Linked DNA regions of Bombyx mori. The protein of the gene in region 2 interacts with the protein of the main gene of each other region in a biochemical or structural test. Links are inferred from orthologs where the notes say so. Each region holds a gene or a part of one and is shown on either strand. Other genes may lie near its edges.

Region 1 (3,373 bases), on a different chromosome or scaffold from region 2:
CCTCACATGTCGGCCTGGGGACCGGCGAAGGGGGCCTAAGAAGACGACGTGCAAGCTGCTCTGCACGCGTTTTATGCATGAGCATCCGGGTGATGGAAGGCCGGCTATCCTCAACCCACGCTGGTTCTGACCCAGCGGGGTATTCCGTAGGATAGACCATTCTAACCGGCGCCATCTAGGCGGGCTTCGGATAGCCTGCCGACCGAGAGGGCTGGTGGTCGTGGCGCCGACGACCGCCAGTCCGGCGTCCCGAGGGGGAGGGTGATGGGAGAGATGTGCTCCGCACTAAACGCTTCACTTTCCCCCCCTTGCCTTTTCATGAGTTTTGTCTCATGCGAGGTTTGGACGTTGGTTGTTGAGAGACAGGAGGTTTTAGTCGGTTCGACTCCGACATGCCCCGCCCTCCATCCCCAGTGAAGGGCGGAAGTCCGGCGATTTCCTCCTGACAAAAAAAAAAAAAAAGGTCTTAAAATTGATAATATAAATGGGGACACTATCACAAACTTAACTTTTCAATATGATAACTGAAAAGTATGGAGTGGGCAGTTCTGAAAATGATTCGGTTGACACTTGCAGGTGTATATATTCGCGGTTACAATGTGCTTATAACGGAAAGTGTCAATTTAGTAATTTTTTTTAAATCCGAATATTCATCCTAACTGTAGAAGATTTCAAATAAAACTCAAATATTTGATTTAACATTTGTTTTAATGAATAACATTCAACAGTATGAAATAACTACTTATGAAACAAAATTTGACTGTTTAAATAAATTCTCTTACTATTTAGTGCACTCAGCAGTTATCACTATTTGTACCGTGCGATTCGTTAATTACCATTAATATGTTGATTTACAAAAATATATTGTGAAGTTATTCGTGAATATATGTTTGCCAAAGCAAGTATATATTAATGATATGACGTATAGATAATGGATACAATACGTTTTAGTTGTGTAGAAACTTGCAAATGGCTTGTGCGGGATTGTATTATACACCAATAAATAAATTCCCATTTTTTTATAAAAAAATCCTCAATGACATCTTAAAACGTTGAGTGTAAATATTGTTTACAACTAAATTAATGCAATCAACGAAACACTGGTTTGTCATACTACTTCGTAAAGCAGGAGTCACTAACAAAATTGTGTTTGTTTTCTGAACAATTAAAATTGACTTGTAAATGTAATTGATATGATTTTTTTTATCAGCAACAATGTAAAAATTTCAATTAAGGTGTTGGGGTTATTTCTTGATACATTAAAATCACAGAGCAGATTATACTTAAATGTTTTGTTAAAACAATAATTAGTATTCATACATTAAATGCAACTTTGCTCAATTTATTATAAATTTAGACATTTAGCATTATAATCACACCACACATTCAACTATTTTGAAGTGAGTTACATGAAATAAGTATTGGATTGTATCTTACGGAATTGCCATAAATTATGTCAGAATTAATCAATAAATAGTATATATTATATTATTTACAGGAACAAAATATAGTCACATTAAATAATTCCTGAATCAATTATAAGATTTTTCAAGCAAAAGAAGCGTAAAACTTGTTTCTTATATTAATTATGACGTTATTTAAACTCTGGATTTACATTAGAATTTTATCACTTCAACAGGGGAAGTGAAATCAGTAAAACATTCTTCAGACCATGTTACACTTCACTTGATTTCAGTGTATAAATAAGTTGTTAAAACATTTATATTGATGTCTCGTTAAAATTTTAATTTATATGTATAAATATATATCCTTAAATTCAAAAAGAAGGTCTTCGACTGTTGAAGTGATATGAAAACACCTATGTACATTTCACTTTTGTCGGTGGGACAAATTGATAATCTAAAATAATATGTACATTTATTTACTTACACTTTGTCATTAGAATTTTAAATAATAAATAAAATCATTTCAACATCAGTTTACAAGTTTACAAATCACTAACTCCTTCCTGCATGTCAACTCGCGAGTTCTGACGAGTTCCTATACATTGCCCCACCGCTATCAATTTGTAAATTTATTTAATGTAAAAATCACAGGATACGCGGTTTCGTTCGAAGGGTGGTTTCAGCACGCTTCAGGGCCGCCCGGTGAAGTGACTAGTATACAGCTCGCGAGGAGGGTCCTTTCACGAGAAGTAGAGCCGCACCGCATTCGTGAACGTCCTGCGACACATCGGGCACTTGTCCGTCGACAGCGCGCACTTGGCGCACGCCACCACGTGGCCGCACGGCACGAAGCACACGTTACGCTCCTCGGAATAACATATTTTACATATTTTAGAGTCATCCAAATGTTTCTCGCCCTCTTGAGCGACGTTGTTAGTCGAATCATTGGTGGCGGCCTGTTCTTCTTCGCTAGCAGATATCGCAGTGGCCTCCGACTTAACCTTCTGAATGTAGTCACGTCCTTTCACCAATTGCACGTACGCGCAGCGGTCGAACCATCTGGCGTGCTGTTCCCACGGAACGTCATCGCTTTCCCAATCTTTTAGCCCTCCGTCGCAATAGAAGCATTTCGTTTTGTCACCTTGGCCTGTATAGAAGAATCCGGCCTCTGCCAGTTCCTCGGGTTTTTGGCGCATACATCTCGGCCAGTCCTTGAAGGTGGCGAGCCGCGCGGCCTCGGTGGAGTACCGCGCGTGCACGGGGCCGGGCATGCGGGGAGGCTGCGTGGCCGCACTGGCCCCACATTCGTCTCTACCGACAGCGGCCGCCTCTCCCCCAGCGTTGGCATACATTTGTTTTCGTACAAAGGGACACTGGGGCGCCCATCTCCGATGATCGGCGGCAGGATCGTCGCCTTCGACCCACCTCATAATTTCTACCTTACAGAAAGCACAGCACACCTCGTCGCCGCGACCGAGGTAGTAGAATCCGTTGCGGGCCAATTGTTCCGGCGTCAAAAACGTAACGGGCCACTGATCAAATGTTTTCAGACGTTCCTCTTCACGACGCATGTCGGGCATATCAGGAAGGAAGTTGAATGTGTCGTGATTATCCGTTTTATCAGCTGACGACGACGGTGACGGGAGTGTGGATGTCGTTGAGGACTCGCATGAGGATAACATGAGCGGACCAATGAAAGGTCGCATTTTTGCATCCCGCGCATTTTTTAACATCACCAACGTGGCGGCAGCTCCATTTTTAGCAACTGTAACAACAGAATAAGTTCACATTACGCACTATCGATACATATAAACTAATTCAATCGTTAATTAGAATAACTTTCTTTAATAATTAGTAAGTGACGATTAAAATAGTACATTAATGAAATTGTTGTATCTGTAAACAACTATCAACTGTTAAATAAACATCGTAACAATAATTGAGTCGACTATTATCAAAGGCGGCAA
Region 2 (4,442 bases):
TAACTTCCACGTAACATTCTATAAACAAACCGAAGAGACAAAACGATTCAGACAGACATACATCAATGAAATTGTATTTAGAAGATAAATATACTGGACGGTAGGTACCGTGAAATGACTATTATGAATATATTAGATCAGCTGTGACAATGTAACATAATATTATACATTACGTGTACGCTATGATTCATGCTTCAAGTAGAATACTATGAGTACATATAATCAATAATTAGTTTTCGAGATGAGGGAAGGTTAAGCAGAAAATAATCGATCTCTTCCATGACACCGAAAATTGCAAAGAATTCGAGTTGTCGAAACTTGTGAATTACTGGTGGTAGGACCTCTTGTGAGTCCACGTGGGTGAGTACCACCACCCTGCCTAATTCTGCCGTGAAGCAGTAATGCGTTTCGGTTTGAAGGGTGGAGCAGCCGTTGTAACTATACTTAAGACCTTAGAACTTATACCTCAAGGTGGGTGGCGCATTTACGTTGTGGATATCTATGGGCTCCAGTAACCGCTTGACACCAGGTGGGCTGTGAGCTCGTCCAGCCATATAAGCAATAAATAAAAAAAAAATAATAATCATTGGTTTATACCGTAACAGGTATTTCAAAAATTCAATTTAATTTAAATAAATATTCTTTTCGCTTTCTCCATTTACGTTTCAACTCACATCGGTTGTTAAAAGCTCATCGTTAAAGATAACACTGCATTCTTTAATAACTTAAATACGTACCATATGCTGATACTATGACAAGCAGTCATTTACGTAAAGCATTTTACGCGGTAAACCAAAATTATTGATGAGAGTTTGTACATCAACGAAAGTTCTCGAAATAATTCCAAATCCAGGTTTCTGCTAAGATGCTACAGTTCTCCAGCGCTAATTTCTAAGTAATAAACCCAATACGTGTTCATGAATGACTTTCACGATTTAAAAATAATATCGTGGTACAAAATTAAATACACGTGTGGCTATAGAGCGGGTTGTATCTGACCAATTGACCCACTGGTTTGTGGTATTGATGGTCTGGGGAACTGTTTTGCACGAAGTGGGCTGTAAACTCGTCTCGGCCAAACCATACCCAAAAAATGCTCCTAATATAAAGAAAACCATGGTCGACAGATAAAAAGGTTGTTAAGATGCGTGAATTATCTTTATTCTGGTTCTTTATATTTATATCAATAACAAGATTGTGTTTATGTCTTCATCCGATTTCTCCAGTATTGTAATCGGCTTCCCGGAGTGCCATTGTTGTCAGCCTCGGGTTCAACAAACTCTTCTTTTTTATTACGTACTTTGTTTTACGAAAAGTTTAATGATCGAAATGAAATGAAGTTGGTTTATTGCAAATTAATTATGGTATGAATTTTAATGAAACACGATGAAATAAGTTAGCGTCCTAAAATAGTGGGAATTGCAATGATACTTCAATGAGCTTCTTGTTAGATCCCGAGAGGACACATGCAAGATTATTGTGAATTTATTTCATTAAGCAAAACCAGATTGAATACTAAATGAACTAATTCAAACAATTCTCAGAATTTCATTCCTCTCGCTCCCGCCAGAAAGTTTGTTTTAGTGTCATTAATTTTGCCATGCAACATGAATTGAATTCTTAGCATACGTTGAACACGTGATTCTTACAGACTTACAAACTGAACGCGACAGGAATATCACATTCAATTTTCACAATACATTAACTCTACTCGTAATCAAACAGTTAGAAAAATGTTGTGAGATCATGTCTACCAACAGACGATCGATCGGACCTAATATTGCGATTAAACAATGTCAGATCTCCAATTATGAGAAATAGTGAGAATCTTTACAGTTATATACCGCTAAGTGGCGACTCAGCGATGAGAAAATCGTACGAGCACCAAACAGAAACAAAGTATACAAAAAAATCGTATATCAAAACGGATGCTACGATAACAAACAAAATACAACTAACTATTCAAACAGTCATTATTTCACAAGGAAAAACAGGTTTCCGATACCGACACAAGCTATTTAGTTACGGGGAAACGGAGACGTGATTCATTCTAAAATTATTTCCCGTGTTACAGACGATTCCAGTTCAAACTTTAAGTATTTTACTCTATATTTTCATACAATTGCTGCATATTATAAAGCCCTTTTTAACGTTTTGAGGCACTCATCATATCACAGAGTATGTGCGCGATACTGCATTGAGCCGTATCTATATTCAAATGTTAAGCGTAGTAAAAGAAGTTGTGATAGCAGATAGTATTGGTAGACTTACTAAGCCTGATCTCATCATCATCAAGTTATGGTGTGATGACATTTCAAACATTTCATTGAATAAATATTGAAATGATCACAAACCCTTGAGGTCGCTCGTTGGCGCTCATCCTGTCCGCGCGACGTTTCTTGCAGGTGTTGCAGTTTAGGGTTGGAGCTCCGCCCTCCCACACTCCACTCTTCCAGAATATTAGACGACCCTCACTGTCCATGAGGGTGCGGAAATCACACTATCCCATACATAGCGATTTTCAAAATACGGAGATTGTCGCCAGCAAAATTATATCGGTGAAGGCGTCAAAGATTCAGCTCTTTACACAATCTTCAAGATCACTGGTGCACCGTAACTCGTGAACGTCTCTTCACAAATGCATGCGATAGTTTATTTGTCGTGTAAACATACGACATGCCTATCGTTTGACATGGGGTTTACGGTCCATGTGGCATTCGACACACATGTGTGCATTAGATAAGCATTTTGTATCGATGAAAATATCGTCTAGAAAACGCATCGAACCATTAAAGTTTTTGGGTTTTTCAACAGTTTACATAACAACCAAACTGCGAGACAATCTTGATGAGAACAACAAAACTTTACGCCGAAAATAAACATGTGTATCTTTTGTAAAGATTATTATTAGCTCATTTTATATGGGAGACAGCGTGTCCGCCCTCGTCGACGTCACAAACCAGACTGCGTGAAGTGAACCCAAAAGCAATTTACTTCAGGTTTCACAGCATTCGAGTGCTCAGAGTTCAAAACTCGGTCTAGACAGTATTCAGATGTCTAGATATTGCAAGAAAAACGAAATCTAAAATTCAATGAGTCTTTTACATTATATAAATAAGTATTAACTTGACATAAAACAACAGAACGATTCTGGCAAGCGATTAATGAAATAAATATTTTAGTGGAAGGTAGGTAGTCCCATACTTCTCAGATGTTCAAAATTCCTAAACACCACAACTCACACATCTCTACAAAGTTATTTCACGAAATAATGACATATCGAAACGGGCACGTGAGCTCTAGTTATATGATGATGCGGGGTGTTGGTCTATCTATAAATAAATTTCTAACTAGCTACAACATTACAACTCTAACCTTTTTATTCGTTTTTTTTAGCACCAACAAATATAAGTTTGAGGTCGTAAATAGCAAGTATTGGGTATCACGAAAAAGATACGGAGACCCAGGCGTATATTTTGGCAAATCGATACTAAATATTTAGTAGCGATTCGGTAGCCACGTGAAGTCTATTTACCACTAACCTAACCGATACTTCCATCCGACCGTTGTTGGAATGGGAGAAATCGTAGAATGACGATTCATTTCTTATTTTTCTGTGATGGATAAAAGTGTATGGTATCACTCAAAATGTGGATAAAAGTGTACGGTATCACTCAAAAGCAAGTTAACTATATTAAGTGTTTATAATAATATTTTATTGACGACAAAATGACAACTGAATGCTCATTATTGTCTAACTTAGGTAGTACTTAACGTATTGTAAATATCTAATTAACTACATCAAAATATTTTATACGGAAAGAAAAAGGAAATTAAAAAACCGCGCTACAAGACGTAGCTATCAATGAGGGTATCTTAAGAAAAATATGTACTAGTGTTTTAGAAGAACCCAAAATCATATTTAATTGAACAATGCCCAAAGAAAAACAAACATAATTTGCAGCCCATTAGAAAAAGCAAGGGTAATATAGTTTCAATTACAAGTATGATTAATGCCGCTTCGAATGACATAGAGGCATAAATTAAAGATAAGTTTGAGATTCATCCACAACGGCTGGACGTTGTAACTGAGTTCTGTAAAATATACCAATCGGTCCAAAACATCATCGTCTATATTGTCTGTACAATCGGCAAATGACATGATCCTAAAACACAGCTAATAATTAGACAAGCTGTACTTGAATATACTAACGTGATTCAATTGCGAAAAGTATGAAATGAAATCATGAAATCACCTAAGATTATTAATTACCAAAACATGCGATTACCATTACCATTCAAATTGTCAACAATCAGGATATTAGTTGGGCTCACAGAACAACGAATATAAAAATGAATGGACAAAATAAGTTTTCGGTAGCTATGTTCATAATCTCATAAACGAACACCTACAAGAACATCATCTAATTACTAAAGCAAAA

The links.
Region 1: of the proteins of HPO (region 2) and Iap, one has a biochemical effect on the other in vitro, tested with the Drosophila melanogaster proteins (2 studies listed by BioGRID). The link is inferred for Bombyx mori from reciprocal best matches to the Drosophila melanogaster genes hpo and Diap1.

Annotation. Positions count from the first base shown.
Region 1 is NC_085129.1:8,325,058-8,328,430, reverse strand, and holds the end of Iap (inhibitor of apoptosis protein), read right to left. Parts: intron 3,172-3,373; coding exon 2,147-3,171; 3' UTR 690-2,146; downstream 1-689. UniProt on the Drosophila melanogaster protein: Anti-apoptotic protein which functions as a caspase regulator, using its E3 ubiquitin-protein ligase activity to smother caspase activity. Binds, ubiquitinates and inactivates initiator caspase Dronc, and effector caspases Drice and Dcp-1.
Region 2 is NC_085111.1:709,532-713,973, reverse strand, and holds the start of HPO (serine-threonine kinase-like protein), read right to left. Parts: upstream 2,962-4,442; 5' UTR 2,483-2,961; coding exon 2,355-2,482; intron 1-2,354. UniProt on the Drosophila melanogaster protein: Plays a key role in the Hippo/SWH (Sav/Wts/Hpo) signaling pathway, a signaling pathway that plays a pivotal role in organ size control and tumor suppression by restricting proliferation and promoting apoptosis.